Bombyx mori: one gene and its partners. The protein of the gene in region 3 purifies or fractionates together with the protein of the main gene of each other region. This does not show direct contact. Links are inferred from orthologs where the notes say so. Each region holds a gene or a part of one and is shown on either strand. Other genes may lie near its edges.

Region 1 (11,119 bases), on a different chromosome or scaffold from region 3:
TTGTTATAAATGCTAATTAAAATGCAGTCCAAGTAAAAATGCAACCGAGAAGGGCATATATACTTCAAGGAAATGATAATTTATCGTTAAAACAAAAGCCTAGGTTGAATAAGCAGTAACACTGTGTATACCCGCTGTTTTGAGTAACGTGTAAAATATAAACAGAAACATGATTATTATGTTGTATTGACGTCTCCCATTATAATTCCAAATGCGTTAGTCAACAACTTGTAGGTTGCTACACCGTGTTGGTATAAAACGTCTTGGATCACGTATTTATAACATAAATATTCAAGAAACACTTCAATTCAAAAAATATTTTCAAATAAAATCTACTATTTTGTCCATTTTATCTGTAGCAAGGGCTGTACGAGGTTTTTTTTTAATATCACGATACTTTTACTGTACATATCTCAGTCTCTCATATCTTTGATGTTCTCGGATTTAATTACATATATGTTTTTATGATTTTTTTGATATAGGCCTACCTTACACCAAATAAATAGGTACCTCAGCTCTGGCCAAAGTCTCGTTTGTATTAGAATGACGGCTATTTATTTTGCCTAGTTAATGGCGTGAAATAAAATATCATAGTAAAAAGTTATAAATTTCATATTAATTTAGTATAATGTATGTTACCATTTTACTTTAATTTTTCAACCAATCAACCAACCAATATACATTGTTTTCAAAATCACGATAGGGAACGCTCAAGACATTATGTACCTACACCAAAATACACTAATGTGCATGAAGTGCAAATATATAATACAAAGTTTTGTGAAGGAACAAAAAAATCTTTTTTGAGCAAAAAATCAATCAATATTTACGTTTTTAATATTAGTGAAAGTGAACACCTCTGTGTGTTTAGCGGTGTATGTGAGTCATAAAGTTTACTGCAAAAAACAACAGTTCAAATATCATTTCCGCTATTTGTGAAACTTTATAAAAGACACTTATATATCTAGAAAATGTATTTATTCATTATTTGTCAGATAAATTCGTTGGTACCAATCACACGTTGGTACCATGAACATCAAAGTGATTATCACGTAAGTCATAATATGTCACTGTAATCGCACAACCACTTTGTGCTTAAATTGTAATTTAAATGAAAAAGTGATTGTTTAGTTTACACTTTACGACTCAATTCGACCACTTTAAGCTGCTTAGCTAAATGACTGTCTTTCACCGTGGTCCTAATGTTTACAACTTATCACTTTGACTATGACTATAAAAAGTTGCCGTAAGTTAAAAAATTTCATGAACATTACATGAATAAATTTGATGTCGACCTGTCGCACTTAGAGGAAAAGAAGCAACAACTTTACTCGGCTATTTCATGTCAGAATAAATTGTATTTATTATAATGTAAACGAGTACGAACTATTGTTTATTAATCGTGGATATTTCGAGCAAATATCAAACTGTGACTGACTGAGACATGACGCAAGCCTATTGTCCACTTGGTCAACTAGCCAATAACGATTTCACTCCGGATTGTGTTGTGCATTGTTTATCTCTATTGTAAAAACTTCTTTGTTTTCATAACCACAGGAACTTCCAAAACATTTATTTTTATTTTTAAATTGGGAACTGTAAATTTCTGCAAATTAGTCATGGCTGTAAAGATTATGGGGAAAAACCGCGCGGTCAATCAATTCATCATTCACGTCAATTCAAATCTAGTCTTTTTGGGACGATCCAAATCCTTTCAAGAAGGCTTTTATTTAAAAGATTTTTTCCGCGTGTATTTTTTTAAACGAACCAAAAAGTAAATATAGGCTCGATGCAAGTGGAATGATTTTGAGGTGCAAGAAATCATATTATATTTTCAATAGAATTAAGTTTACTGGTCGTCCCTAGTGTTATTTTAAATGTGCCCACAATTTCTGAACTATGTTGCGAACGAACTTTTTTAATCTAATAACAAAAAAATATACTTAATGAAGCGAATTCTGAATAAAAAGATGTTAAAAAGAAAAAAAAAAGAAAATTCAACCGCATAGATATTTTTCTTTCCACGACTTAGCATGTTGAACTACAAAAACTTTTGGACTAAACCAATCTGGAATTTGAATATTATAGAAGATTTTAATAAAGTCTTAAGATTTTGATGAGAAACTGTCAGATGCTCGCACAAAACACAACAATATAATTTCCCACGATTAACATATTAATATAATTTATGATTCCTCATGTCATTTCTTTCTCATTTTTGGTTGCAAAAAATATAAAGCTAAAGATGTGTGTAAACAAATCTGAGAATAATAACTTTGAAAATGTTTTTTATTAAAAACTCATATTTTTTGTTACCTAAATCAAGCACTTGATAAGTGGAGAATACAACAATAATTTAAATATAAAATAAATTCGTAAAATTTTACTTCAGAAAAATTTATTGTTTGAATTAATTTTTGTTGACTCAGTCGTAGCTTCGTCTAACAATTTATATATTAGATAACTTGGTATTTCTTGATTTCTAGGTCTTTCGAACACTAATATTGCCAATATCTCGAATGAATAAAGTAACTGTGTTTACAAACAAGTGTCTACGCGTCACCTGCTATAGACAATCACTAGACCGAGAGAAAGGCGCTTTCCACCAGTTGTATCCTACTTATTCGACTGCACAATTATTTTGCCTCATTTAGTGACTGTCATAATAGTTTAACAATTAGAAAACCATACATTTCTGAATAGGTACAGGAAATTAATGACTATACTATATGAGTCGTCTATTATCAAAGGTGGCAATCTGTGCATTTGGACAAAAGTTTTTTATTGATATGTCAATACAGATTGATTTGAATATAATCGTCTCCTTCAAAGAATACGGTTCAAAACCTGCATTAAATAAAGGTTAATGGTTAACCTGTTATTTATCTAAGATGTCGTTCCGAAGAGTTTTGTGACTGCCAATGGAATACAAAGTCAATAATTCGTTTTTCTGATTTACCAATCATTGTCCAAAAGTCAGATTGCCGGCTTTGATAATAGTCGACTCATATCTGATATTTTATTTTAATGTAATCTATAAAAATAAAAGATTTTTGTTCAGTTACTGCACTCAAATAATGTACGTATTTAATTAAAAATTAAAGTTTGTGTTTTATTGTAATGTTAATCATATTTTTATTCAATATGATAATAATAATATATTATTAATTCTTAAATAGGTAACGGGTTTTGCATACCGGTGGCGGTTCTGATGTGCTGTATACTTCAGAAGGCGGATATTCCGGCTTCATAGTTATTGTAGCCATCGAGTCTGGCTGGTGTTCTTTTTCCATCACGACCTAATACTGTTTATCAAAATTTATTTATTGCTCGTCTCTGGGTAACGCGCACTGTGTCTGATGTTCGAAGTTGAAGTGCGGGTCTGCGGACAACTTAGGACAAGTGAGTGGTGTCGTCGAGCGTAGGCGCAGAGAACGGCCGTGGTGGGGTCGCCGGTCGCCCGCCCGGTTTTGCATTCTTATACAATGGCTGAAAATACCGCTTAGATCCATAATAAAAAATCCGTATCAGTATAATATTGCTCTATTCATTTCATTCAGATCATTCGAAGCATCAATCAATCAAGGGAAACACACGGCACAACGGTATCTGATATTAAATTATGGGTAATATTCTAACTTATTTTGAAATAATGAAAAGGATAAATAAATATACCCAGATACGTTCCAGATGAACTTATCTGGGTATTTTTATTAACATAATATATATTCATTTGTAGTAATTCTCATTCAACATTCTCGTTTTAGTCTCCTACCTCCGAATTTTTGTGTTGAGTGGAATGAAATCGTTATCTTTCTTTTTATCTTTCTTTTTATTTAGGAGTCTTTGTAGACTATGATTCCCCCGTCCAGCCTGCTTCTACCGTGCACATTCAGGTATATACCGATACATTCGTCAAATCTTTAATAGGTATACGAAGTCATTCATATTATAGTTAGGGCTGCTGAGCGCTGTGAGACATACCCGATCCTGTAGATCGAATGGTAAGCAGTCGACGTTGCCCAAAGCACGTCATTACGGATCCTCCCGATCCATTAACGGTGCTTTTAGGCACCACAAGCACCGTCCTCGTCGAACCCGTCGCTTGCGATGAAGGGCTCGACGAGCGAATTAACCCATAGTCATAGCCCACTGAGTTTCTCGCTGAATGTTCTCAGTGGGACGCATTTCCGATCTGGCGGTAGATTCTGCGAAGCACTGCTCTTACTAGGGTCAGTGTTAGCGTCACTCCGGTTTGAGCCCGGTGAGCTCACCTACTAGTTAAGGTTACGCTGAAATAGCCTCTCAAGGAGGGACTTCGGTTCCCTCTGTATTTTGTACCGTATGTTCCATGGGGAGTGCTCTGAGGAATTGTTCGAGATGATACCGGCATCTCGTTTTTACCATCGCACCGCCCGCCACCGGAGTAGAGTTCATCCATACTACCTGGAGCCACTGCGGTCATCCACAGTGCGTTTCCAGAGGTCTTTTTTACCACGTACCATCCGGCTATGGAATGAGCTCCCCTCCACGGTGTTTCCCGAGCGCTATGACATGTCCTTCTTCAAACGAGGCTTGTGGAGAGTATTAAGCGGTAGGCAGCGGCTTGGCTCTGCCCCTGGCATTGCTGAAGTCCATGGGCGACGGTAACCACTCACCATCAGGTGGGCCGTATGCTCGTCTGCCTACAAGGGCAATAAAAAAAAAAAAAAAAAAAAAAAAATCAAGGCTTAGGTAGGAAAAATAATTTTGTAGAAGTTTTTTTTCCACCAAGCTGATCCAATGTCAATTTTGTTGTTCGAAACTTAGGTAGTCTAATGAGTCATAATGAGCAGGCACCATCTTACTGATAGGTTGTTCCTTTTAAAATCAACCATGCTGTCTCATCTTATGTTGAATTTGGTTACATTTTATTCCATTTAATCATCATCAATCATAAAATCAATAAACATCCAAAATCAATTACTATTCACTCCGTTCGGCCTTCGTTACAAACATGGCTTTATAGGCTAAGTTCCTTTTGCCTATTCAATGAACAAATTACGCTTAAAAAAAGTGAACAATAATGAACAATTTCGATTTGAGGTTAAGCGCAGCCGAAATTTAATGCTTTATGTTTAAATATTGATAGTAAACATGTCAACTACAGCTAAAGGAACTTTTCAGCCAGTAAGTAAATGTGCAATACTTATTTTTGTCAAAACATAACAAGCAGAAGAAATTTACTGTATTAATTAACCATATTGAGACCATTTTAGGTACGAAACATGAACATTCTATTGAATTTCATTTATTTTTCTCCTCGGCATTCTAGGACTCTGATGTACACATTTCATATGAAGATCAACAAAAAATTAACAAGTTTGCTCGTCTCAATGCTAAAGTTGACGATTATAAGGATGAGCTCAAAGTAAAACAAAACGATGTAAAGAACCTAGAAGAAGCAGTTGAGGAACTGAGCCTTGCTGATGATTCTGAAAAAATCCCTTACCTTATTGGTGAAATTTTTATTTGTCAGAATTTGGAAATTACTTTGGTAAGACTATCACATTAATATTCTTTAAAATTTCATTAATATTATATATTTTATTAACTAAAAGTAAAATAGTGGTCATTTGATAAAAGAAAGTTGCAGCAGTTTATCCTAAACTTATTTATAAAATAATGTATGTTCAATCTGATATTAATGCTTCAGTAAAAAGCGAATACCAAGAGAATTATTTAAATATTTTTCAGTGCATATCTCAAAAACAAAAACTCACTCATCTTTTGACAGATTACTTAATGCATTTTGTAGGATCATATACAAGCCTTAAGTTCATAACAAATTTTTTTGACCCTTTTAGTGCTAAGCTTGTTAGATTATAGATTTTTAGAAACATACAATTTTCTCTTTCTAATATATAAAAGTGCCTTATTTGTAGGTTAAGCTTGATTGAAGATTAGTTAAATATTAATCCAACTGAAAATTGAGAACTAAAAAATATCCAACTATCTAATCTCATTTTATATTTAAACTTAACACTTAACTCAATAAATAAAAAAGGGTATATACCCTTAAATAATATTATATATGAGTCGACTATTATCAAAGCCGGCAATCTGACTTTTGGACAATGATTGGTAAATCAGAAAAACGAATTATTGACTTTGTATTCCATTGGCAGTCACAAAACTCTTCGGAACGACATCTTAGATAAATAACAGGTTAACTATTAACCTTTATTTAATGCAGGTTTTGAACCGTATTCTTTGAAGGAGACGATTATATTCAAATCAATCTGTATTGACATATCAATAAAAAACTTTTGTCCAAATGCACAGATTGCCACCTTTGATAATAGACGACTCATATATATTTAAATCTAGTATTATAATTTTATTCCAGAAAAATCTTGAGGAAGCTAAAGCAAAAAAAATACATGAAATTCATGATTTAGAAGAAAAATGTGAGGAACTAAAATCACAAATGAGTGACTTGAAAGCACACTTGTATGGAAAATTTGGTAGCCACATTAACTTGGAAAATGAGGAAGATTGAAACAACATTAATTTTGTTCACAAAAATTGTACTCATATTTTAAGCTTTTAAGTTACATAGGCTTCACATCAAATAATTATTGTTATTCTAAACTTTGTTGTTTTTACACAATAAGAATTTATGTTTCTTAATTCGAAAATTGGCTGACCTACTTCAATGCAGTTTAAAATTACAGTAAAGACTTATTAAGTTCAAAGAAATGGTCCTTAAATATAGAACAAAATATATTATTGTTGTTATCTAGATTTGTGGAATATGTATACTGATTTTTCACTTAAGTTATTTTCCATTACTATAATATACACATCAATTATTTATTATCACGATAACTAAATATGTTTTAATAAATAAATAAAAATATAACAGACATCATTCTATGATGCATTTTCATAAAAGGGAAACAAAGTACATAATAAAAAATGTTATTACTTGAATAGTGGTACATAGCTAACCTTGTGCTTATGTAGTTATGTTGAAGGTGTGAAAATGTTTTGGGAGTTACTCCAAAATTGATATCTATCTTTTTTAACTTTCAATAAATAATTAAACATGAAAGTTGCATTCGTGACTTGTCAACTTATTCAGGTCTTGTATTTTTATTGAAATATATTATACTAATTAAAAGTTTCATTATTACAATAGACAGTAGACGTACATTAGTGAATCCCAGTCATGCTATGCTGTCACTATTAAGCTTTTCTGAGGTGTTTTACACAACAATACCTTATATGATATAGAACTGTTATTTTTTTTTATTCCTAGGTGGGTGGACGAACTCACAGCCCACCTGGTGTTAAGTGGTTACTGGAGCCCATAGACATCTACGACGTAAATGCGCCACCTACCTTGAGATATAAGTTCTAAGGTCTCAAGTATAGTTACAGTAGTACAGTTATAAGTAGTCTTTTTGAAATAACACACCACCTTTTTAGTTAGAAAAGGACAAAGTACACTTTCCCTCTCTTTAAAATCAAGGGCATACCATAATATTTAAGGTATACGCTTTAAGGCTTTAAGTATTAAAAACTGAAAAATTACAACTCTTCAATTACATTTTTGGCTTCTTCAATTTCAATTATATTTACCAAAAAACAAGAATTTTGCCATAAGTGCGATGTATAAAGATTCTAGTTGTGTTCCCTATACGTTACTAAACCGTTGATTAGGTAGTAATAATTTTATGATAATTAAATAATAATAAACCTTAACCTTATTAACTGAACTCATTTGTATTAATGTCATATTTTCATAGAATCTAAAATCGAACCGCTCATCTCACCACTGCATGTAATCGATAAATTATAATTGTATTAAAATTTTGTGTGAGATTAGTATGTGTTACTTGTGATTTATTTTGATGATGCATAATAATATGTGGTTGGAGCTCCAGGAGAGGTTTCTGTCATAGTACCATAAACATAAATAGCGCATGAATAGTTTCAAGAAATATATCTTTTTCACACAATTACTTATAGTCACGGCAAAGCGTGACCAGGATTACTAGCATAAACATAAACCTTAAAATTTATTATCACAAAATTAATTTGATTAATACAATCATACTAATTTATCAAACAAATAAAGCTACTAATCATAATACTAATACAATATAATACAGAAGAAAAACACATTTTATGTGCACCACTATTTTATGTGCAAATATACACCACCGCAAAATACAAAGCTTCATCATTTCCAATATCGACAAAACAAAATGGCATATCTGAAAAAATCTCAGGCAATTTTTGGTGCTTCGAATTCTTTGGTGTGTTTTCCATTAAGTACAATGTCTCGGCAACACATTCGCCTGGCTATTACTATCAATAAACCTAAAAATAATATTGCTGAAAAAAGGAACATATCCTAAAGACAGGGCTGTTTTATTTTAAACCCGGGTTTTATAAATATGAGGCGAGAATTTAACGGTATACTATATTATGCTGATGCGTTTTACAATTTGTACCAAACAAATTCGACTCTTCGAACGTACCAGACGAGCCCTAACATTTTCTACAAAAAGTCGATGTCAAAATAGTTTAATCAACGATATATTATTATTATAATAGATGCGTAACTGTGCTTTAGGTTAGGCACTGACAACAAAACTTTTTTTTTATCATGAAGAATAATCGCAAATAATAATATTCAGGGCCTAACTTAGCCTAAGCACTGAAAAATACCACCTCATTACCTACATCCTACATAAATTGAACATAATTTATCTTCATTAACAAAATGCTAAATGCGATCAACATCAATACTATAAAAACCAAATTTTTTTTAGGCGCTAGTAATAAGTAATAACCCAACGTTTAGTACACCTTAAACGTAAATTTACTGTTTATATCTTTATTGCTTCTACACCAAATTTTCCCGCCTTTAGAAGTTTCGGACCCTTGACCACTAGCTCCTATTACAATGACCATTTATTAAGCAGTATGTAATTACGAAAATGTAACGTCAATACCTTTCATAATATTTAATTAAAGAACATAACAAATTCGTTAATACTAAAATTCTGATGCAAATAAATTTCACAGTAGACGAATAAAATACAAACGTATAACATAGCACCTAGTATCCAATTAAAGACTATAAAAATAAATTATTAAATAAAAGTTTTAAAATACAAAGCCGTAACACTTAAAATATTGGTGTTTATACACCGAATTGAATCACGTTTATGATAAAATCACACAATCATCTCAAAGAACATGATGAAGTTCATTTATCACTGGTTTTAGAAATGGTAAAATATCTGATATTTACGTTTTTTATTAAAACTAATGTTCATATAATGATCAAAATTCGAGAATAATCACTGACACCTCATGATTTACTTAGATTTATTTTACTTTTTCTCATTTATTTTGCTATGCACATTCTGAAAGCAAATTTACTAGGCATTTCCAAAAACAAAAACAAGTTTTGATAACACCAAAGCTCGTGGTTATCAGACAATAACCAGTAATGGGAAAAAAATCGGGCAAAGAGAGAAGAAAAAGAAACTTAACTGTTCTCTTTTTGCCTATCTGTACATAATTAAAGCGGAACTATTATAAACGTCATGGTCACGTCGTCTATTATAAACATGGCGTCGCATCGCGAGCGCATCGGTGATACATGACAACCACTTTGCCAAGAGTTTACGACTAGGATGAAGAAGAATTATATACGTGACAAACCCCATCGGGTCCCGGAAACACACATACGTATGAGAAATACAAAAAAAATTGCAACAATCTATAATAAGAATACTGACTGACAGGAATTTGAACTCGCTCCGAGTGCCTGCTACAAAAGTCAGTCACTATACAACCATTAAACCTAAGAGGCCAACAAACCTTAACATATCACTGTCTATAAATCGACCTCAATATTCAACATTTATGACCTATTCTATTAACTATTCTCGTGAAACAGAATACTAGGCGCAATTTAAATATTACCACGAAACGCACCATTTATAAAAAACGGTACATAGGTGTTCTAATAAAGTTATTCATTATGCTAGGAACAAATTAATAGATGCGAATTAATATCTAGCCAATAACATATTAGCTTTTATCCGCAGACGCGACGCGACCTTCGTTTAGGCTTGTCTTATCAATATATTTAATAAGTACGTTGTCAGACCGACCTATTAGCGATCACTTGGGCACATTATTTGGCATGTCCAAGCATTACATATTATTTTGTTGATACTACCAGCATTTTTATACCTTCTTACGGGATCTTACGAACATTTGATAAAACAAAATAAGGATGTTTTGAAATACCCTTTAATTCTATTAGCTGTTATCTATTAGCTTTATTGTTTTGATTGGGAACACGATTTCGCGCCCCTTCTGGTGTTATGGGCTTACGGGAACCTATACAGATCACGAAGCGCAAATTAGGCAACATGCGGGAATGGTTTCTTAAACTTAAAATAAGATGCCCGTAAGATTTTTTATATACACTATAGTCACAATACACATTTATATAAGGTCGGATCCTTCATGCGTTTACGCAATAAATTAATAAAAAATAACCTGTTTATTGACTTACAACTTATAACAAAATAAAAGTAGCGCGTGCCGCCGCCATAATGGTAGGTAAACACTTGATTTAGCCATATTTATTGTGCCGCGTCTGAACGACCAATAAATTTTACCCCGATATTTGATAGCACGTGATGATCACTTAATTTGCTCAATAGAGTGCTCACACGGCTCCAATGCTACTTCTCCCACCCTTCCCCTTCCATTAAGGTGTTTTTTTCTTCCTTCTATCAGATGAGTCTAAATCGGACCTTACTCACCATCGCCTACAATAACTATATAGTCGTTTTTTCTTTATCGGACTGTTAATGAGCGTTTTATATACATCTTACGATATCAATAAATCTTTTTGTTACGAGTCTAATAATCCAGCATGTCGTTTCATGAGAGCACGAATTCATGAGATTGAGTTATTACTGATGGTGGGGGGCTTTCCAGCTTCACGAGGATGGGTGGGCAAACTTAAGAGCCCGGGAATTTGCTAGGAGCTGTCCGATCGGCGAAGGAGGCCTAGCTGCTAAAGGACAGCAGCATG
Region 2 (11,239 bases), on a different chromosome or scaffold from region 3:
TTCTTGAACCAACTGAATTTTGTAAGGGTGCATATGTAAATCTTTCTTCAAAATCCGTTGTAACGATGTCCTGGATACGTTTAATGCTCTGGCGCGCTTACGAGTTGACTGTGTCGGATTTTCGCGAATAGACTGTGTCACTGTGTCTATGTTTTGTTCCGTACGTGACGTCCTTGGGCGACCCAACCGCGGTTTATCTAACGTCGAACCGGTCTCCTCGAACTTAGCAACCCAGTTCTTAATCGTTTGAAGAGTTGGAGTGTCGTCAAAGTTGTGTAAACCTTTGTGTTCTCGAAATTTACGCCGCGCAACGGTTGCCGAATTGTCGTTTTTATAAAACTCGCGCACACAAAACGCACGGTCCGCTCCGGTAAAACGCTCCATCGCGACTAAATTCCCAGAAACCGAAGTTACTCCCCCCGCTTCCCCTGCACCGCTCACGCGCGCCCTGTTCATTTTATTCAAATTTTACTTTTCAAAGGACTTATGGGCCACCCTGTACTTCAAGCTGCTTCAACTTCTTCTCGAAGCGGTATCGAAGTGTCAATGTCTAAAAACTATGGTAGGGTTGAGCTTGGAGATGAAGGAGATGGTAGGACAATTCATTTGCTCAAAAACTCCTGAAAGTTCTCGCGCCAACATTCAAGATAACTTTCTGAAGTCGCGATGTAGTTTCTGTTTTTATCCCAAAGCAGTTTCTTTTGGGTCTCTTTCTCCCTGCCAGCTCTTTGGTGTCACCGTACAATTGCCTCAGGTTGCCCGTATCGACTGCTGCTTGAGCACATTCAGCTTACCGTCAGTAGATCGTCGCCTGTATTTTCTGGTGCTGCGATAGATGCACTCATGTACGTATTTGACTGTACTGGTCCCTAAGGCAAGACCGTTCGGCTTTGTTCGGGGTTTCTAGGATGTTTAGGTGAAGATCGCATCAAGTCTGTTTAAGGTCACAAGTGTCGTCGGAGGTCCAATCATCGCGCTTTTTTCCAAGATGATCTAAGACAGAAGATCTGATTTCTTGATAGATTTGATTCGGTTGCACTCTTCGTCTGTATTATCAGTATTCGCATAGAGACGGAAGAAACAATTTCGGAGTTCCAAAGCAAATTTACTTCGAGAAATCTTTCTATCAAGTTGTCCCCAATCGAACTTAAGTCGTATCTTGTTGCTGCCAGCTGCTCGCCTCGTAGTCGCAACCTTGTGCCGGAGTTCAGCGACCATCAACATATGACCACTGCCGATATCGGCACTACACTTTTTGTGAACACTTGGCAGCTAGTTTGGTCTTCGTACGTATGTTGCCATCGGGTGAAGTCAACGCATACTTATGTATATTTTTATCATGGAAAAGTGTACCTCCGATAACAAGGTCGTGGTTTTCGCAGACTTTAATAAATTGCTTCCCTTAGTCGTGTTGGTCCGTATTGTCGCTTTTCCCTATCGTATTCATAACTCCTATCAAGATGACGGTATTGCTTTCGAATGCCTTCAGCGCGTTTTAAAGTTGTGTAAAGGAATTATGAAGTGTGCCTTAAATGTTCTAAGAGTTAAATAGAGTTTTAATTTGTACTTCGGTGAAAGTTTTATTTATCCCGAACCCGAGCACGTCACAGTACTATTTCTAGCACTACACTAAAAACATGTGACCAACAAAAAAAGTACTAAAAAAGCTATGTCAGGCCAAAAGGAGTGTTTTGATGTGCGCTTTGGGAGTCTTAACGACGAAAGGAAAGATCTTCCACCGAGCGGGTGATATTGCTCGGTAGACCGACGGTCCGAATGTCGTTGTTCGGAACTTGTATTTTTTTTATTTTTTTATTGCTTAGATGTGTGGACGAGCTCACAGCCCACTTGTGATGGGATGTGTGATATATGCGCTTTATCTTGAAAATGTCATAAGCGAGATTCAGGCATCTGTCAATTATCTTGCGTTGTATGATGGCTACCCGCCACACGCTAAGAGTGCAGAAAAGTTTTTATTCCACGGTTTACTTGTGAAAATAAACCAAGTTTATAGGTAATTTTGAAGTCGTCGTGGCCTAAAAGACGTCCGATGCATTCGTATGTAGCGATGCACCAGTGTTCGAATCCCGCAGGCGGGTAGCAATTTTTCTAATGAAATACGTACTTAACAATTGTTCACGATTGACTTCCACAGTGGAGGAATAACATCGTGTAATAAAAATCAAACCCGCAAAATTATAATTTGCGTAATTACTGGTGGTAGGACCTCTTGTGAGTCCGCACGGGTAGGTACCACCGCCCCGCCTATTTCTGCAAGGTGTGTGGCGCATTTACGTTGTAGATGTCTATGGGTTCCAGTAACCACTTAACACCAGGTGGGCTGTGAGCTAGTCCACACATCTAGGCAATAAAAAAAAAATGATTTCATACTTATGAAGAGTGTCATGAAAATATCAAATCAAATTGGTGAAGATGGACTGCTGTTTACATTAGAGTAAGAAAGCATGTGATTTTTATATGTATATATTCACTATAAATATTCATTCAAAATAAATAAAAATAGAAAACTAAAAATCTTTCATTTTGCAATTTAAATCATACCTATTTGTTTTGTAGAAATAGGCAAAATGTTCTCCATTCTTTAGTTTTTACAAAACTTGTCTCGAGGGCCAAGCCAAATTTCACATGACAAAGTCACATCTATACTTACACATGTAAAATAGTGCAATCAAATTATAGGTATTGATCATTTCATCAATAATACATACCCTGTTCCATTCAGAATTTGTATGAGAGTACGACTAAACCCGCATCTTGGAGTTTCCTTGTTCCCTTTCATGAATACCATTATATTATGCTTATTTATTAAAGCTTTTAGTCGATCTTCAAGTTTCTGAGGGGTTATTTCTGCAGGACTCTTATTAAGACTCTGTGCTTTAATTTTTGTGCTAATTTGAGCAGCATCTGCTCCATCAATCCTGTCTACTTGAGTTCCATTCTTAAATAATATAACTGTAGGCACTGAATCTACCTGAAATAAACATAATCATTAATAAGTTGTCTAAAACAGGCTTTCCCTATTTTGATTGTTTTCATTATAAATTATTTCAATATTCAATTACATAGGCTCTTTGATTGCTTAACTGGTCTAGTGTAGTGTTTCCTAAAGTAGTCTATTTCAATCTGAAGAATGACATAAAGTCTTTAATGCATAGTTGAGTAACCAAAATCAAGATACAAATTGATGTATCCATAAAGGTATATAAGCCGACTTAACCTAATAAGTGTATGGCTTTAATAAATAATAAAAAAAGTATACACAGGTATTGCAATAGGTGACTTAATTGTCTGTGCTTTATGATGCACTACATTTTTAGGGTTAGCACTTATTACTTTTTATTTAACAATATATTAGCAGAGCATTACCTTATATTGCAAGGAAACTTCAGAAAGTGCCTCGGCATCACAAACAGCACATTGTGTCTTGCTCGACTGAATTTCAGGAAGTTTTAAGAGTTCTTCAAGTACATCTGTAACTTGTTTACATTGTTCGGCCCATTCTGCTGAAAAGTGTACTACTCCAAGTGCAGGTGATCTAAATTAATTAAATAATTTTTGATATCAGCCAATACCAAGATAGATATTAAAGAATCATCTTGTTGTGATAAAAGATTAATTGAAAGTAATATTCTCAATTTTATATTCTAAATACATATTTCCATTTCAATGAATGCAAAATGTTGACCATCCTGCTACATAGTAATTTATTATCTAACATTTTTACCTATTTACTGTGTATTTAATTTAATTTCTTTTTATGGCTTATTTTTAATGATCCTTTCACAAACGGTTTTAAAAGTACTTTTTTATTAGCGGTGATTCTTACCTTATAAAATTATTAAAATCTTCAACAGAGTCCAATTTACTGACCGACATTTCAGTATACTATGTTTAGGTTACTTTAATAAATTTTGTAAACAGTATATAAGCGCCACTGGATTACAGCAAGATTGAATTACAATTACAGCAAGATCCGGAATCGTAGGTGTACTCGATGCAAAAATTACAATTTATTTAATCATGTTCATTCAGTTTCTGACATCTCTGATTAGGGATGTGGTCTAAGATCGATACTTGAGTAAATTAATTTGTTAACAACTTAAATCGTGAATAGTGAAACATCTTAAGCAGTAGAAAATCGAAATTTGATGAAAAGGCATTAATAAAGTATTTATGGTTCAACTGATTATGAATATATTAAATATAATGTTTATTAAATTTAAATTTACATTTTAAATAATAATAATTTAAAAAGTTGTTGTATATAAATCATGTATTTATTAAATTTTTTGAATGAATTTGTTGTTAATTTCTGTTTGATTGATTTTTGTGTCATTTTGGTTGCACTTGGGTATTTTCTAGAATCGATTTTTCAAAATTTTGGTCTGAAGTCGAATCATCATCTCTATTTCGAGCCAAATTTTTTTGTTTGATTTGTTTTTTGGACAAGCAAAAGGAGTCATAAATAATAAATAGATGTACACAATAAGGAGTTTTAGCAACACAGCGAAGTTATATTATGTCATGTATATCTTATTTATTTAAAATCGCTTAGCCATCTTATTGTTTACGGTTAATGATCAAGCTTAGTGGTAGATTTTTTTGTGTCTGAGCCAATTTTTTTGCTAATTTATATGGTGATTAAAAGGTTTGCTTAGTCATTGCTCTCTCGAAATGCTCGCAACATAATTGTTAACTTATAAATTTATTAACCTCTTTAATACGATTTTCGTTAGCGGTCAAATTGGTAGAAAACTACCAATATGACTAGCCAAATTGATACACACTAATAAATCCAGTTTAGTTTCTGTAAATTCTCAACATTTTACTAAGAGGTTTTCTTTATCGATTTGTTTTTTTCACTTATTTGGTGTTATAGGCAGAATTTGTTTGCATGTCAATTTGGACCAAACAAGTAAAACTGTCAAATTGACATATTCTGACTGAAGTTTTGGATCCTACCCGAAATCTACCTATTTTGAGGTTAGAAAAAAGAAATAGTCTTAGGATCCTACAAAAAACTAAATAGAATAACTAGAAACGTGTGTTAAGTTCTTTTATTATTTCCTTTTATTAATATTTACAAAGATGGCATCCGGTTCAGGCACTCAACAAATCGATTTAAACAAACTACCTTTGCCTCAACTAGCTCAATTGAAACAGCAGTTAGACCAGGTATGTATAAAGGAAATATCTATAGAGCTATTTTAGAAATAGTAAGCATTAAGTATTATTTCTTCAACATAATATAATTTATACAGATAATTATTAAATGTCGTAACTATTAATGTCCTTAAGAGACAGGACTTATGTCCTATTTTAAGGACCCTCATGAAAGCCGGAATGAAAACATTTCCATATGTTTTCTGGTCTGAGTTGTGTATCTAGGTGTACTTGTTAGTGACATGAACCCGGACCTCAAATACCAACTCACAAAGCTATGAATCTAAGATATGTTAAAGAGAAGACTTCACTGAATGTGCTCATTTTTGGTAGACAAGCAGTCATCATGTTGTTGTTCTGATCTTTTATTGGAAGACTATTTCGTAAACAGTCAGCTTCAGGTCATATCCGCTTTTCTTTATTGTATTGTAGCTATTGCTATAATTAGCCAGAAATGGAACATCAAACATAATGACTAAATTGAGGGAGACATTTTTTTTATTGCTTAGGTGGGAGGACGATCTCACAGCCCACCTGTTGTTAAGTGGTTACTGGAGCCCATAGACATTTATGATGTAAATGCGCCACCCACCTTGAGATATGTTCTAAGGTCTCAAGTATAGTTACAACAGCTTCAAACCGAAACGCATTACTGCTTCACGGCAGAAATAGGCAGGGTGGTGGTACCTACCCACGCGGAATCACAAGAGGTCCTACCACCAGTGAAAATGTGTCTGTATGTTAGTAACTGATGTTATGTTACAATATGCATTAGTAAAACGTCTGCCCTTTAGTCTTTAGGTCTACTTTGGGAGTACTTGGGCAGCTGTTAGTAAATCTGACTCCTCCTGGCTGCTCCCATGCTTGCCCTGCCTATCTTAGTGAAGCAGTAGTGGCCTCCTTGCAACCAGCTATCTCCATCCGAAAAAAAGGCAATACTCTCACACAAAATCCATAAAATTTTATTTCAGGAATTGACAGTATTTCATGATTCAATACAAACATTACAAATGGCTAAAAATAAGTTTGGTGAATCAGGAGATGTTCTAGAGAAGATGACGCCTGATATCAAAGGAAAACCGATGCTTGTTCCATTGACTAGTTCAATGTATGTTCCTGGCACAATAGCTGATGTTGAGAATGTCATTATTGACATTGGCACTGGATATTACGCTAAGAAAGTGAGTAACTTAAATCTATACATATAAATAAAATTGGAGTGTCTGTTTTTAATATTGAAATAACCGCTTTTTACTACATGCATATGAATATATACAGTACATACACCAAAATAACATTTTTTACAATTTTTGTCTGTCTGCCTGTCTGTCTGTTTGTTCCGGTTAATCTCTGGAACGGCTGGACCAATATTGACCAGACTTTCACTGATAGGTAGCTGATGATATAAGGAGTAACTTAGGCTACTTCTTAGATTAGGTTCGGCCCGCGGCGTCGGTTATTGTCGTACCACGGGATAACATCGCGGGACTCAGCTATCAATAATAAAATTTAATGTTTCCGAAGCGAAGCGAGGCGAGGGGGGGCGCTAGTTAAAAATAAATTTAAACCTAATTTAACACTTAATTCAGCTCCAAGTTTGGCAGGATAATATATCATGTATAGCTGCTGTTTTCATTTCAAACCTCATTTCAGAAAATGTTGAGTACTTTAGAATATTGGTATGAAGATTGAATCATGATATAGTTTCAAATAATTTCAAATTAACTGCATGGGTTACCCCTTAGGGCTAATGATGCTGACATATGTTTGTATTACGTTTTATTTCTGCTTCTAGGACATTGAAAGTGGCAAAGATTACTTCAAGAGAAGAGTAGAATTTGTTACAGAACAAATGGAGAAAATAAGTATGTTAGGTGCAGAGAAATCGAAACTCCGTGAAGCTGTTAATGCATTAGTTGAAATGAAAGTTCAAAACGAACTACAAGCAAAAAAAGCTAACTCTTCATAACATATCTGAGACTTAATTTAAAAAATATTTTGTGGAGAGATTCGTGTCCTTTTAATGTATAGAGTTGACCTAAATTTTCTGCTTTGTTAATTTATAGTTTATTTAAAGTATTTTAATTACTTTTTAAAACATTTTAATGATTACATCTTAGTGTTAAAAGTGGAATCATTTGTGTTTTGTTACCACGTATCACCCTGTCCTAATCAAAGTGGTTACTATTGCTTCTGTACATCAGTGATTTCAGAGCAAAGCCAAGTTTCTGAATGTATTAACGTAATCCCAACAGCTATGACTTATACTGATATTTTCTAATGTAAAGCTAGATAATATTATTAAGCCACATCAAAGCTTTTCCTCACATTTTCTTTAATTTTGGATAAATTTTGAAACTAATTACCTAAGGTAATATTTTGTGTTTAGAATACTCCTCAAGAGTACTACTCAATAGCATCAAGTAATGTTAATAATATTCTTAATTCATGTTTTGTAATTTTGTAAAGCTTTATATCATTTCAAACTATGTGTTTTACAAGTACAAGACTCATTGCTTAGTTTTAAATTTAATTCAATGTAACAAAATGTGCTTATGTTTAAAATAAATATATAAATATATTTCCAAGTTTTACTTGAACGATCCAGTATAACAAAAAAAAAACGCGGCTAAAACAAACATCAGCAAAAAGTGGCTTCTTTTTTTAAGATATATTCTGATACTGTTTTAAATGTTTTAATGATCTAATTATTGAATTCTGAAGAATAACACCCTGTATTGTTGTTGTATCTAGTAATAATCAAATTCTAGAAGGATAGTTACATACTCGTATAAATGTAATTTACAACTTTCTTACACAATCCATAGATGAGTCGACTATTATCAAAGCCGGCAATCTGACTTTTGGACAATTATTGGTAAATTAGAAAAACGAATTATTGACTTTGTATTCCATTGGCAGTCACAAAACTCCTCGGAACGACATCTTAGATAAATAACAGGTTAACTATTAACCTTTATTTAATGCAGGTTTTGAACCGTATTCTTTGAAGGAGACGATTATATTCAAATCAATCTGTATTGACATATCAATAACATTTTTTTGTCCAAATGCACAGATTGCCACCTTTGATAATAGACGACTCGGATGTCGCCTTTGTGTATTGCTAAACTCTTCTTTCTATAACTTACTAGGGACCCGCCCTCGCTTCGCTTCAAAACTGTAATTTATTATTGATTTCTCCACTACTTAATGGATGTTATTATACATATAAACCTTCCTCTTCAATCACTCTATCTATTAAAAAAACCGCAACAAAATCCGTTGCGTAGTTTTAAAGATTTAAGCATACATAGGAACAGACAGATATAGGGACAGAGAAAGCGACTTTGTTTTGTACTATGTAGTGATGATGATGATTAATGCAGTCTCGTCCGCGCGTAGCTACAATAGCCCCTTAAACTACCAGCAAATAGGTAGCGAAAAATGCACAGCTATTAGACTTAAAGTCTGTACAATATCACAGTTTAAAATAATTTAATTCCATGATTCGAATACTAGGATTTTCACTATCTCATAAGTATACCTACCGTAAGCGGCAATCTAGACGATCAATTATATTGCCTGGTATTGCGAACTTGGCAGTATTTTTGACTAGGGTTAATATTAAAGATTGCACGATGATTGAACGTTTTTAACTATATAGTTTAATTTTTATTGCACCATATTTATTTATTGCATCATGTACGGTCAGTGCAATGTTTTAAGTCTTTTTTTTTATGATTAAAGTATTACTGGTGCCTCGGAGGCCTTTCCAGGTTCACCAGGACAGGTGGGCGAGCAAATGCTCAGCCAGGAGGGGTGAGATTTGCTAACAGCTGCCTGAGCGCCTCCGAGACCAACTCAAGAGTAGCTGCTTCGCGAATGAATCTACTACCGAATCGGAATCGCGACCCGCTGAGAAGATCCGGCGAGAAACTCAGCGGGCTGATGGGTTAGGTTGCACGTCGAACTCTTTGTCGAGTTCGACGAGTACGGTTACCGTGTGTTTTTGTCTATGGTTCGTCTTGACAAGGAGTATACGCGCTGACTGAGTTCGCGAACATTGTGCAGTTCGTATTATTGTGCAATATAATTGATCGTTTAGATTTAGAGCGCCTTTAAACCTTATTCTAGGTACATTATATTGTATGGTACAATGTTATTGTAGGTCTAGGGGCCGCCTAAGACGTTATTAACAATCACGTCTTTTAAAAACACGGAACTTTCTTCAAATATTTAATGATATATCTCTCTCTCTCTTTCTCTTCGATCGGTTCCTCACTGCTGAGGATCGTGACTCCGTCCGATTTCGTCAGCCAACTGTCTCCATCGAACCCGTCCTGCAGCCCGGTGGAGTGCATCGCTGATAGGTATCCCCAGTTCCTCCGCTATTTGGTCCGACCATCGTTTGGGACCTATACCCCTAGGCCTTTTTCTCTCCATTTTACCAGTCACCACAAGGCGTTCCAAATTGCTGGTATCCCTACGTGCAACATGATCAAAATACCGCAATATTCTTTGTAGGCAGATTGTGGATAGACGTTGAATCTTATAATGATATATAAATTGCGTTAAGTTCTGCTAATTTTTTGTCTTTCAAATAAGGTTTAAATTGAGTTCATAGTAGTAGGTGGCGTCTTAGGCTCGCAGGTCTCCGGATTTGCTGATGTCCATGAGCGTCGGTGACCAAATACTATCAGCTGGGTCGTAAGATTGTCTATCTTTTACTATAGTAAAAATGTTCCCTATATAGTTCCTAGGGAATTTATTTCAAATTACATTTTTATAAATATTCCTCAAAAACAGGTGCCTCTTTTAATTCCAAACCCTTTAGAGCGTGCAATAGACGTAAAAGTCGAATGTTGATGGTTGATACAAAGTGGTATGTAGATACATATTTCTTTCTAGATGTATCTACAGACTTTCTGCGATGCCTTAGCAATCCGTAATCATTTAGCTCTAGGTGTAGGTATCACGAGTCCGTCCACCAACCCAAGGCTTAAAGAAAAATCGACGCCGCCAGCTTTTAAACATGTGGTCAAAATATCTACATATGTTTTAGAACATCTGTTTTATCCTTCACACTGCATAATTACTTTGCTGATTACGCCCTAGTGTATATATTCTGTGAAATCTTAATTTCTCAGTTAAATCCCCATGACCTTGTCTTTGAATTTGAAAATCTGTCTCCTAAGATCAAGCTGAATCCGTTTAGGGTTCCTAGGCACATTACAAGACACACAAAATATACTCAATGGTGCTTGGGATTTATTTTTATCGTGTACGATCTAGCGGTGTATTTTCATCATTTAAGATTGTGCTCGGCGTAGCTTATATCTCACTAAATTTTCGAAGATTTTCGTAGTACTTAGGTTTAGAAATTTTAGGAATATATCACTACATAGTACAAAACAAAGTCGCTTTCTCTGTCCCTATATCCATTAAATAGTGGAGAAATCAATAATAAATTACAGTTTCCGAAGCGAAGCGAGGGCGGGTCGCTAGTTGGTAAATAAACCAAATAACAGTACAAGGCTACCAATAGTGATCGAAGCCTTAATGTCACCATTCCTTAAACAAAGTGCACCAGAAACTGAGTGCTTACAATTTGCGTCTTCGCGTTAGAATATAGGAAATTGTGTACAATTAGATAGATAGTTTTCATGGTCACACTCTTTGTGTATGAGCGCAAACTTCGGAAGTTTGACCTTACGCTGTGGGAATAATAGGATTTTTAAAATAAACTAAACTTTTTAGTGACACCAAATGTTTTCTTTTATTCATTACTAGGCCAAAATGATAGCGCTGACGCCTTTTTTTTTTTTTTTTTTTTTTTTTTTTTTTTTTTTTTTTTTTTTTTTTTTTTTTGTCAGGAGGAAATCGCCGGACTTCCACCCTTCACTGGGGATGGAGGGCGGGGCATGTCGGAGTCGAACCGACTAAAACCTCCTGTCTCTCAACAACCAACGTCCAAACCTCGCATGAGACAAAACTCATGAAAAGGCAAGGGGGGGAAAGTGAAGCGTTTAGTGCGGAGCACATCTCTCCCATC
Region 3 (11,121 bases):
ATCTAAAAAACCACTTACGTCTACGGAAAGCATTATCACCCTTATGGAAAGGACCATACAAAGTGGTAAAAATACATGGAAACCACACACTTTCCCTTCTCATAAATCGACGACACGTAAGACATCATTATGATGAAATTAAACATGCAGAAGTTGAAACCTAATAAGTATGATTGTGTAATTAATATGATTAATTATTTTATTAGTTTTATTTCCTCTCTAGTATAACTTAACTCAGTAGCCTTTAAGTTAAAAACATTTATCGTAAAACATAAATAATAATAAATACATTCTCTTACAGCCTGTCGGCACCATGTCAAGGCCTATCACGCACTCGAGAAATTACCAATATCGAACAAATTACGAAAAGCCCTGGCATTTACTTTAATCCCTCGGGATCTGTTAGGATAATTAGTGATTATTTACATGTATTAGTACCAATGGACATAGACTACATTAAACCCCATATAGATAACATTCAGACGGTTTTGCATTCAGCCAGATACTTCTGTACTAAAAACAATGTGGTTGACGACCTAGAGTGCGAGAATATGTTCATGCCCCTTTTATCTATGTTCAATGATATCTCAAGGGACTACCACGCCATTTCTCATCTTATCCAAAGTAAATCAAAGAGGTCTGCGTGGATTTCCGGCATCGGCACTATTCTTAAACATATAATAGGCACCATGGATGAGAATGATGCTATAAGGTATAATAAAGCCATTCAAATACTTAAAGATAATAATAGAAAAACTCTAGATTTGATAAAAGAAAATATCCTTATCTCCAAGTCGGCAATTATAACACTCAACGAATCCATAATTGAAATCAACACTAATGAACATAAATTAAACAAAATGATTGAAAACCTATCTTCCAGTATTAAAAACCTAACAAAGGCAAGTAATGCCTTGTTGTTTAAATCTACAATACATGACATGATAAATGTTATTCAATCAAATATGTTAAACTTGTCCTATAAACTAGAAGACATCATAAACTCAATTTTGTTTTCAAAAACCAATACGCTACATCCATCAGTCATAACACCCAAAGATTTGTATTATGACCTTGTTAACAATGTTAAATATCTACCTAGATATTCGGAATTAGCTGTAAGTTTAGAATTAGAAAACATATATGTACTTATAAATCTCTCGGAAATTATTACATGTATTTTAGAAAATAAGCTTATATTTAGTCTTAAAATTCCTCTAGTACTCATTGATACTTATACTTTGTATAAGACAGTACCTATACCAGTACCCCATAATGTAACATCCAAATCTTTTGCACTAATACTACCTACATGTTCTTATGTGGCCTTAAATCAGAGAAAATCGAAGTATCTTAAACTCGATAATCTTTCTAAATGTAAATCTATTAATAAGGAAACTCATATTTGTAAACAATTAGATGAAATAGATATACAAGACTACCCCATCTGTGAAACAGAAATAATGACAAAAGTCTTGAAATCACTTCCGAAACAGTGTAAAACTAAATTTTTATACGGCCATGCCAACATATGGCAATCCTTAAATAATAATAGATGGGTCTTCACACTATCTGAACCCACTAAACTCAACATTGAGTGCACAGACGAAACTACCGAATATATAGTTTCAGGAACAGGCATATTATCCCTGAAACCAAACTGCACTGGATTCTGCAAAAACATAAAATTAATAAGTAAAAGTTATCCTGAATATAAATTCAGTCACATACACTCAGAATTCAATTTAGTAAACGATACATGTTGTAACCCAGCAGTGTTTGAAAATTATAATTATACCGAATCTATTACAGGACTGCATAACTTAGAATCGAATAATTTAGACCAAATAATCAACAAAGCTGATAACATGCTACAAACCTTAAAACATTTAAAATCTCAGAACGAATCTATTTCGATAAGCACTCCCCATTCCATTGTCACATACTTATTTGTAATACTATTTGTTATTTTTATATGTTATTATTTTTGTCATAGAAAGTGCGTGGCTTTTGTGCGTAAATCTAAACCAAACGAAAACACGACGCAAATAAACACACCCCCACAAGAAAATATTCAACTAAATACCCAACCGCGAATAAGAATCCATTAAACTTTATATTAAAATAATCATCGAAAACTTCGGAAAGCCGTAAGTTTTCGCTTAAAGGGGGAGCTGTTATAATATTAACTAGTATATTAATTAATTTACCTAAGACCGAAAAGTGCCTCTAGCAGCACTTTCCGGCCTAACATATACTAGAGCCCCGTTGGCTCGATGTCAGTCACTCTGCGTCGTTACTATGAGCCACACTCTTTCTAAGTAGAATTTTGTATCTTCAAAGTGAATAAAATCTTTTTTAAAAAGAGTTTTTCAAAGTCCCGTATAACAGAGCGCATTCCATTACGCTAACCCGACCTTACGAATTCAGCGCATGAACGCCATTACTTCGGTTAAGGACGAGTCACGCTTTCTTTGTTACCACACTGGCCACTGCATTAGGGACCAGTTACATAATAGTTTACCAGCGTAATAAATAATAATAATAATAATATAGCATCCATTATGGATTTGGTTCGGATAGCATTTGCTGATTTCCGAACTTGGAATGATATTAATGATACAATAGACTTAACTTTGTATACCTAAGTGGCCGACATTCTAAACCCGTAGAATACGGATAACGGATACAGAACTATCCGTTACTTTAACAATTCCTGAAATTTGATCAGCATCGATGGAAGGTGTAATTAACTCACGTGGATCATTATGGGACAAAGCAGTCATAATATGTTATATTTTAACTGTTTTGTTTCTTTATTTTAAAATTTAGTTTTAGTTTATTACAGATTTAGGCTATAAAAAATTAATTGGGGCCTTCGTTTTCATTTTTGAAGATTGTTATCATGTAATCACGTTCCGTTTTCTATTGCATCTGGTTTCTAGTTACCACGAAATGGGGAACACACAACTCAGGCGAGCAGACAGACGCTCTTCGAAACGTCATGGCATTCGAACAAAGCGCCTAATAAAAAGTTTTACATTGCCAGTGTACTTTATTGCTATTAATTAAATTCGGGCACTTTAAGTATCTATAATAATCTTTAACATAGTTATGAGTTAAAAAGTTATACAAACTAATAAGTCTGTCCTTAATTTTTAATTAAGAAACTGAGACTGCCCAGGTATCTAGGCAATAAAAAAATATTATACACAATAATAGAAAACGTAAGAAATTTAGAACCTTTTTACCTACGATATCAGATCAGGAATATGGAAATTCGCAGGAAAACCGTAATAACTGACATAGCCGAAGGAATTGTGAGATTGAAGTGGGCAGAGCATTGCTCGTAGAACAGATGGCCACTATGGCTGAAACGCTTTCGAGTGGCGACTGTGTAAAGATGTAGCTTGGGTGGAGCTCCCACAAGGCAGACCAGCTACCTGTTAAATATAGCGGGAATCCGCCGAATGCAGACAGTGTAGGACCGGTCGTTGTGTCGAGGCTTTGGGGGGGCCTTTGTTCAACAGTGGACATCTGTGGATATTGTCGTTTATTTAACTTTCTATACATAGCCTGGTTTTACTACTCATTCAGTTTCGAATAGGTAGCTTACTCATTATTGAATTTTTACCAGGCATATGTCTTCAAATCCAATTTCGTCTTATTGCAGCCAATTTAATTTATTTTTAAATTATTTCATTTTCATTCATAAAATAATTTTCATTACACTTTTTTAACAACTAACAGAGATTCGACATATACTAAAGTAGGGACCCGCCCTTGCTTCAGAAACTGTAATTGATTATTGATTTCTCCACTATTTAATGGATGTTATTATACATATAAACCTTCCTCTTCAATCTCTATCTATTAAAAAAAGCGCATCAAAATCCGTTGCGTAGTTTTAAAGATTTAAGTATACATAGGGATATAGGGACAGAGAAAGCGACTTTGTTTTATACTATGTAGTGATGAGGTTTACTCGCAGATGCTAAATTCCCGTTGCCTAGTCAAAAAACGAAACGAAAAAAAATTAAAATGTCAGATTGTCCTACTTGCCAGTTGTCAAATTTTGTAAAAATAATGCTTCATGCTTGTTTTCTCCACACAAAACTAAGTTTTTAGTTAATTTCCAATTATAAAATACATTAATTGAAGGTACAGAAGCTCATGGACAGTTCAATATTTAAATAGGTATATTTAAATCAAACATAACAAAGCCGCTTGGTGGCCATTCTGTGATATTACGGCAAAGGTACATAAAATATATATTTTTTGTAAATTTAAAACCATATGTAAAAATCTAAAAAATATAACTTGAAAGGTATGAAAACTTACGTACTTGAAAGACAAAAAAAATAAAAAAGTCACTATTCATTAAAATTTCATATAAATATCATTTTGATTTGTGTTTTCAGAAACATTAAACATTATCAGTGATGTCGATGCCACACAGCAGTTCGAGTACCAGTTCAGGCACGAAACGTAAAGAAATATACAAGTAAGTAACGTTACAACACAATATGAACTATAAATAACAGATTGGAAATAATTGACAGTATAAAATACAGAGTTGACCCAATTTTGAGATTGCTAATTATAATTAGGTATAGCGTGTTATTTATTTCTGTACCCATTCCTATGTTTCGAAACATTTGTAATACAATCAAGCAGGCATTATGGGACTTACTAATTTAATGCTTTAGATGTTTTGAAATATACAGATAATCCTTTCACAATTCCCGAAAAGAACTAAAGTGATGTTAACAAATTGCAAAAACAGCCTTATCTTGATAATTACGTACGAAATTTGAGTTGTTCATACAGTTAGGTTAAATTCTCATAAACGAAGTTGTGATAAAAAAAAAACACTATAAGCTAGACAGCTGCATTTCTATGTCACACATCTTTTACAGATACCAAGCGCCATGGCCATTATACTCAATGAATTGGTCTGTCAGACCTGACAAGAGATTCAGGTTAGCCCTGGGCAGTTTTGTTGAGGAATACAACAATAAAGTAAGCTTTTACAGAGCAGTTATTATATTAATTTAGTAATTTACAAAACATACCAACAGGATTAAGTAAATACAGTATAAAGGCCCAGATAATGAATCATGCAAAGCTAATGCAATTTTAGGGAAGTCAATTTGTCAAAAATTTCCCACTCATTGAATTATAAAAGATAGAGGTGTGTGCCTTATAATCTATAAATGCATAATATTACCAAAGAAAATACACAATAAATTACATATTTTTGTTGTTGTTCATTTTTCAGTAGTTGACAGAATTGGTAGGAGCACTTAGTTTGTGGAGGCTGTTCTTATAGACCAAGTAGACAAATACAGCAAGAAAAAAAAAATTCTAAGTAATTATTGGTGCATAATATTACTTACTTAATTCCACCATTAAATTAGTAAAAACTCAACTACATACTACTAATTAGTTAATTGTTTAGCATAATATACAAACATATAGTAAGTAAACCAGGAGTTCCCAAGATATATAACCCACTTAGACACACAATAACTTGACCGCAAAGGTTTTAATTGGTGAGTATGTTGTATGAATAGGAAAAGAACTAGGGATAGGGTTTTTTAAATAATTTGGGTATGGGGTTTTGAGGTATCAGTTCATTTTAAAAAGGGGTCTGCCAAAAATTGTTTTATATTACCTAATATAAATGAATTTATTAGTTTTCACTACATTGAAGGATTTTTAGTGAAAACTAATATATTAATGGTTTCATTTAACACACATACTGTATTGTAGCATTCCTTGTGCATGACATAAGCTTAATAAAACTCTTAAATCCTAGGTACAAATAATTTCCCTTGATGAAGACACAAGTGAGTTCACTGCAAAAAGTACCTTTGATCACCCGTACCCGACCACCAAGATTATGTGGATACCTGATAGCAAGGGGGTGTATCCAGACTTGTTGGCAACTAGCGGTAAGACTTCGGTAGCAGTTTGTTAGCACTAAGATTACCATATTTAATATGGAGATAATGAGGCTTGAATTTACTTTTACACTGCTACATAGACAAAAACATATACTCCCAAAAATAATGCTTACAATATCATCTCTCTCTAGAGAAACAGTATTCATGATAGTCTTTGAGCTCCATAAACCACTGAATTGTACTTAACTGAGCCTGTCTATCTCCTTTGTCGTCATATCACTCTTGTCAGAGCGGTTGTGGTCGTCATTCAGCATCATTGCTGAGGGCAGATGTTATGCGCCTCACAAGCAATCGCTACTCCTCCCGGTTTGTGGTGAGCCTGGTACACTCATGCAAACAATAATAATCAATCTACATAAATAAAAATAAGTGATACCCTATGAGTACAATATGAATGATTGTGATGTTAATAGAGGCAACTTTCGTTGACATAAACAGTTTTGATAAATAATCAAATTCAAGTAAAACTATTCAATAAAATTTCACAATGGTGCCTTATGTTGCAGGTGATTATCTACGCATATGGCGTGCCGGAGAGCCGTACACATTATTCGAATGTGTCCTAAATAATAATAAGAATTCTGACTTCTGTGCTCCTCTTACATCCTTTGATTGGAACGAAGTGGATCCTAACCTCATTGGCACCAGTAGTATTGACACGACCTGCACCATCTGGGGCTTGGAGACTGGACAGGTCTTGGGCAGGGTCAATGAAGTGTCTGGGCACGTGAAGACTCAGTTGATCGCTCATGATAAGGTTTGTGATTTTTATTTAATAGAAGATCTTGTTAATTCATTTGTGTCCAAAATTTATGTTAATGATTATCTGAAGATTATTGGTGTCTTCAAAAAATTTTCGTTCTGCGAATCTAGTATAACCCCTCGAGGTTACAAGAATATGTTGAAAAAAAAATTTTTTCAAATCAATGTATTCAAATATGTTTAAATCACTTATTACAATTTTGACATGATACATATTTATCAAACTAAAGAATTGCAGGATTGAAATGGGCATGTTACATACGTGCCCGATTTCATAATGATCACATAACATTTTAAGTTTTAATGTAATCATAAGCATGTAGTGTGAAGTATATTCAAGGATGCTCACAACAGATACTAATAGAATTTTATTCTATTGGAGATTCCATTAAAAATCTATTAGCATACACAAAACTGGTGGTAGGACCTCTTGTGAGTCCGCACGGGTAGGTACCACCACCCTGTCTATTTCTGCCGTGAAGCAATAATGCGTTTCGGTTTGAAGGGTGGGACAGCCGTTGTAACTATACTGAGACCTTAGAACTCATATCTCTAGGTGGGTGGCGTTATTTACGTTGTAGATGTCTATGAACTCCGGTAACCTCTTAACACCAGGTGGGCCGTGAGCTGGTCCACCCATCTAAGCATTAAATAAATAATAATAAACAAAGCCGAACGTATACGCCCCTATCTGGTTTTATACACCTTGACATAATACAAGATGCACTCTGCGTGTACATCTTGCTAGACACTGTAAAGTGATGGTTACTTGAACAATAATTTGTCCTTGTCTAACTCGCCTTAGAGAAAGGTGGCTGAACAAAACTTTATATACATGTGGGGGTATACGAAAAAAAGGTTCGACGGTCCGAATGTGGTCGTTCGGAACCTGCATATAGGCAAGCTTATTAAGCTATAGCAAGCTTGAAAATGTCGTAAGCGAGATTCGGGCATCAGTCAAATATCTTGTGTCGTGTGATGGCTACCCGCCACATGCAACTTCTCGCGTACGGCAGCCCTAATGCCGGTGTTTGTGCGCAGGAAGTGTACGACATAGCGTTCAGTAGGGCCGGCGGGGGGCGAGATATGTTCGCTTCCGTGGGCGCCGACGGATCCGTCCGGATGTTCGACCTCAGGCATCTAGAACATTCCACCATCATTTATGAGGTAAGTACAGGAGGCAGTAAGCAGCGTCTTTCGGCGCTCGTGCATGGGCGCATACTATCATTATTTGGACATGTCTCCCGGCGAGTAAATGACTCCATAAAGCGCCTTATCGTTCAGGGCAAAGTAGAAGACACCAGACCGCGTGGAAAGTTGCACATGCGATAAACTGACCAGGTCAAGTCAGCTATTGGCGGCTGTTTGCCTGAGTGTACCAGGCTCACCACAAACCGGGAAGAGTGGCGATTCCTCGTGAGGCGCATAACATCTGCCCACAGCAATAATGCTGAATAACGACCACGATCGCTCTAACAAGAGTGATACGACAAAGATAAAGATTCAAGAGGCCTGCGGCACGAATGACTAACACAATGAAGGAATGCCGCGTTAAGTCCGAGTTAGTTGACCATGTACTGTGGTAGTAAGACGTCTTGTGAATGTGCACGGATAGGTACCACCACCCTACCTATTCTTGTTGTACTGTGAAAAGTGAGGCCTTAGAACTCATGTCTCAAGGTGGGTGGTGGTATTAACTTTGTACACATCTATGGATTCCGGTTACCCCTTTAGCACTACGAGGGCCGTAAACAGCAAAGTAGAATCGGCAAAATTGCGGAATTTTCACTGTAGGTAGTAAGATCGATATCACAGATCTGCAGTATCGGGCTGCAAAACAGTCGTCTGTGAGGACCCGTGCAGTTTGCCTGTGAGCGCCACGAACTGGTCTGATCGTGTTTATGTTGAGAAGCTGCTGTCAACATAACAAGTCTTATGGCAGACTGTAATGTAACACGCAGGACCCTCAGCACACCCCGCTGCTCCGCCTGGCCTGGAACAAGCAGGACCCGAACTACCTGGCCACCATCGCCATGGACGCGTGCGAGGTGATCATACTGGACGTGCGCGTGCCCTGCACCCCGGTGGCCAGGCTCAACAACCACAGGGCGTGCGTCAACGGCATCGCCTGGGCGCCGCACAGGTTCGTAGGCCAGGTAGTAAAGTAGGAGCATCAAGGTTGCTAAACAAGCCCATCCGATATCTCCTCCTCTGGGACTGTGTTCCTCAGCGCATTATACGCAAAAGATAATTTGCGTAATGACTGGTGGTAGGACCTCTTGTGAGTCCGCACGGGTAAATACCACCGCCATGCCTATTTCTGCCGTGAAGCAGTAATACGTTTCGGTTTGAAGGGTGGGGCAGCTGTTGTAAGATAATGTAATACTGAGACCTTAGAACTCGTATCTCAAGGTGGGTGGCGTATTACGTTGTAGATGTCTATGGACTCCAGTAACCACTTAACAACCGGGTGGGGTGTGAGCTCGTCCACGCACCTAAGCAATAAAAAAAACAATGTTCTTGTCGTCAAGTTCTTAGAACTCTTCAAACTAGACTGTGCAGCCGAAAACACCAACTTTTGTTCTAATTCAGTCCGTAAGGTATGCTCCTTGTATTGTGAACGGACCACAATAATATAAATAATAGTTTAAAAAAAACAAAAGAAACGCTTTTATAGAAAATCCAACTAAAAAATAGAAAACAAATTTTAATAAATTTGTTTTTGTTGTGTTTGTAAATGTGTTTTTTAAAATAAAATCATTTTTTTTACACTATTTTTAATTCAAATTTATTACAATTTATTTTATATTTTTTAGTTGGATTTTCTATAAAAACGTGTTTTTTTTTATAACTTTTTTTTAAACTATTTTTATTTTTCATTTTTTAGTTGAATTTAAAAAATTAAATTTTTTTTTTTAATATTAAAATGTCATCGATCCTTAATAAGTATGCCAAATTTCGAGTTAAACCGACGTTTTGAAGGGGGTCAAAATCACGTTCAAAGATTCCGATACAAACTAACATACATACGTCTCATAAAGCTTATTAATAAATAATAATTACAAAATTTTAACCCTCAGACACAGCCCACTGAGTTACTCGCCGGATCTTCTCAGTGGGTCGCGTTTCCGATCCGGTGGTAGATTCTGCGAAGCACGGCTCTTGCTAGGGTTCGTGTTAGCAACGTCGTCAGGTTTGAGCCCCGTGAGCTCACCTACTAGTTAAAGTTACGCTGAAATAGCCTCTCAAAGCTCTCAGCATAGGTAGAAAAAAAACAATTAGAATAGTATGAATTCTTTTGTGTTATTTCGGTTCGTTTTAAAGTGAAATTTTTAATTCAGTTCTTGTCACATCTGCACCGCCGGAGACGACCACCAGGCCCTCATCTGGGACATACAGCAGATGCCGCGCGCCATAGAGGACCCGATCCTCGCCTACACCGCCGCCGAGGGAGAGGTCAACCAGATCCAGTGGGGCGCCACACAACCCGACTGGATCGCCATCTGCTACAACCGGCACGCCGAGATACTGCGCGTCTGAATATATCCTGATTGTACAATCCGGTGTGCAGTCGTGTGGACTGTAACCCCTGAAGCCGGCGTGTAGTTTGACGGTAGACGACAGTCGGTTAAACAATATACATATAGTCCTTAGAATCGGACGGTCGCAACAGATGATCCTTCGAGCTTGATTGTTGGAACGGGTATTTTAGTTGCAACATTTCAATTATTTTATAACTAAGAATTCTAGAAATAGTTCCTGTTTTTATTCAACTTTAATTAATTGTGCTCCTTGTGCGTTTTAAGGTTGAGAGAAATTTAGCAATTAAACAAAAATTAAAGGAATTTAAATAACACACTGAATACAAAACCTTGAATACAAAAAAATTATTGGTGAACGTTGACAAACTTGTATGATTTAAATTGAATGAATGATATTATAATAATTTCAAAATTTCCACAAACATTTCTCGAACAGAGTCCCCCTAACTCGAAGGTGCATTCTTTACACTAATCTATTATTTATAAATGGTAATAAAAGTAAACGTGTCGTGCTCGCGGCTGACAATATCTTGTCAATCGCCAAGATAATGTTGAGCTTGACTCCGATACTTAGGTATACACATTGCACTAGACCCCGCACACAACTTCATTACATACAGATGACTTTTTGGCGGGAACGCGAGGAGTGAAATTGTGTGATTTGTTTTGTTTTGTCTTTTTAGTGTTTCTTCAGATTTAAAATGTGTAATAACTGCGGTTTGTTAACCGTTAAATATTTGTGAAAGTGCACAAATATAGGAAAATGAAGAAATTCAAATTTATTCAGATTGCAGTACGAGCGAGATGATCGTTATACAATACAACTGATACAACTGATACTTCGACTT

Evidence for each region. Proteins that work in one complex are often made in the same cells at the same time.
Region 1: the proteins of DDB1- and CUL4-associated factor 7 (region 3) and probable prefoldin subunit 4 purify together in Homo sapiens (affinity purification with mass spectrometry; 3 studies listed by BioGRID and IntAct, with this or other methods). This does not show direct contact. The link is inferred for Bombyx mori from reciprocal best matches to the Homo sapiens genes DCAF7 and PFDN4.
Region 2: the proteins of DDB1- and CUL4-associated factor 7 (region 3) and prefoldin subunit 5 purify together in Homo sapiens (affinity purification with mass spectrometry; 3 studies listed by BioGRID and IntAct, with this or other methods). This does not show direct contact. The link is inferred for Bombyx mori from reciprocal best matches to the Homo sapiens genes DCAF7 and PFDN5.

What each region holds. Positions count from the first base shown.
Region 1 is NC_085117.1:12,406,888-12,418,006, reverse strand, and holds probable prefoldin subunit 4, read left to right. Parts: upstream 1-4,833; 5' UTR 4,834-5,136; coding exon 5,137-5,169; intron 5,170-5,314; coding exon 5,315-5,536; intron 5,537-6,388; coding exon 6,389-6,541; 3' UTR 6,542-7,165; downstream 7,166-11,119. Other genes in the region: EN protein binding/engrailed nuclear homeoprotein-regulated protein, read right to left, coding at 3,198-3,293. UniProt on the Homo sapiens protein: Binds specifically to cytosolic chaperonin (c-CPN) and transfers target proteins to it. Binds to nascent polypeptide chain and promotes folding in an environment in which there are many competing pathways for nonnative proteins.
Region 2 is NC_085112.1:5,058,554-5,069,792, forward strand, and holds prefoldin subunit 5, read left to right. Parts: upstream 1-4,953; 5' UTR 4,954-5,109; coding exon 5,110-5,196; intron 5,197-6,155; coding exon 6,156-6,365; intron 6,366-6,979; coding exon 6,980-7,153; 3' UTR 7,154-7,765; downstream 7,766-11,239. Other genes in the region: glutaredoxin 3, read right to left, coding at 2,730-2,992, 3,388-3,556, 3,848-3,897. UniProt on the Homo sapiens protein: Binds specifically to cytosolic chaperonin (c-CPN) and transfers target proteins to it. Binds to nascent polypeptide chain and promotes folding in an environment in which there are many competing pathways for nonnative proteins.
Region 3 is NC_085118.1:1,106,251-1,117,371, reverse strand, and holds the start of DDB1- and CUL4-associated factor 7, read left to right. Parts: upstream 1-4,027; 5' UTR 4,028-4,258; intron 4,259-4,421; 5' UTR 4,422-4,442; coding exon 4,443-4,504; intron 4,505-4,919; coding exon 4,920-5,022; intron 5,023-5,821; coding exon 5,822-5,957; intron 5,958-6,475; coding exon 6,476-6,726; intron 6,727-7,772; coding exon 7,773-7,898; intron 7,899-8,692; coding exon 8,693-8,874; intron 8,875-10,072; coding exon 10,073-10,271; 3' UTR 10,272-11,121. Other genes in the region: uncharacterized protein LOC134199889, read left to right, coding at 1-164. UniProt on the Homo sapiens protein: Involved in craniofacial development. Acts upstream of the EDN1 pathway and is required for formation of the upper jaw equivalent, the palatoquadrate. The activity required for EDN1 pathway function differs between the first and second arches.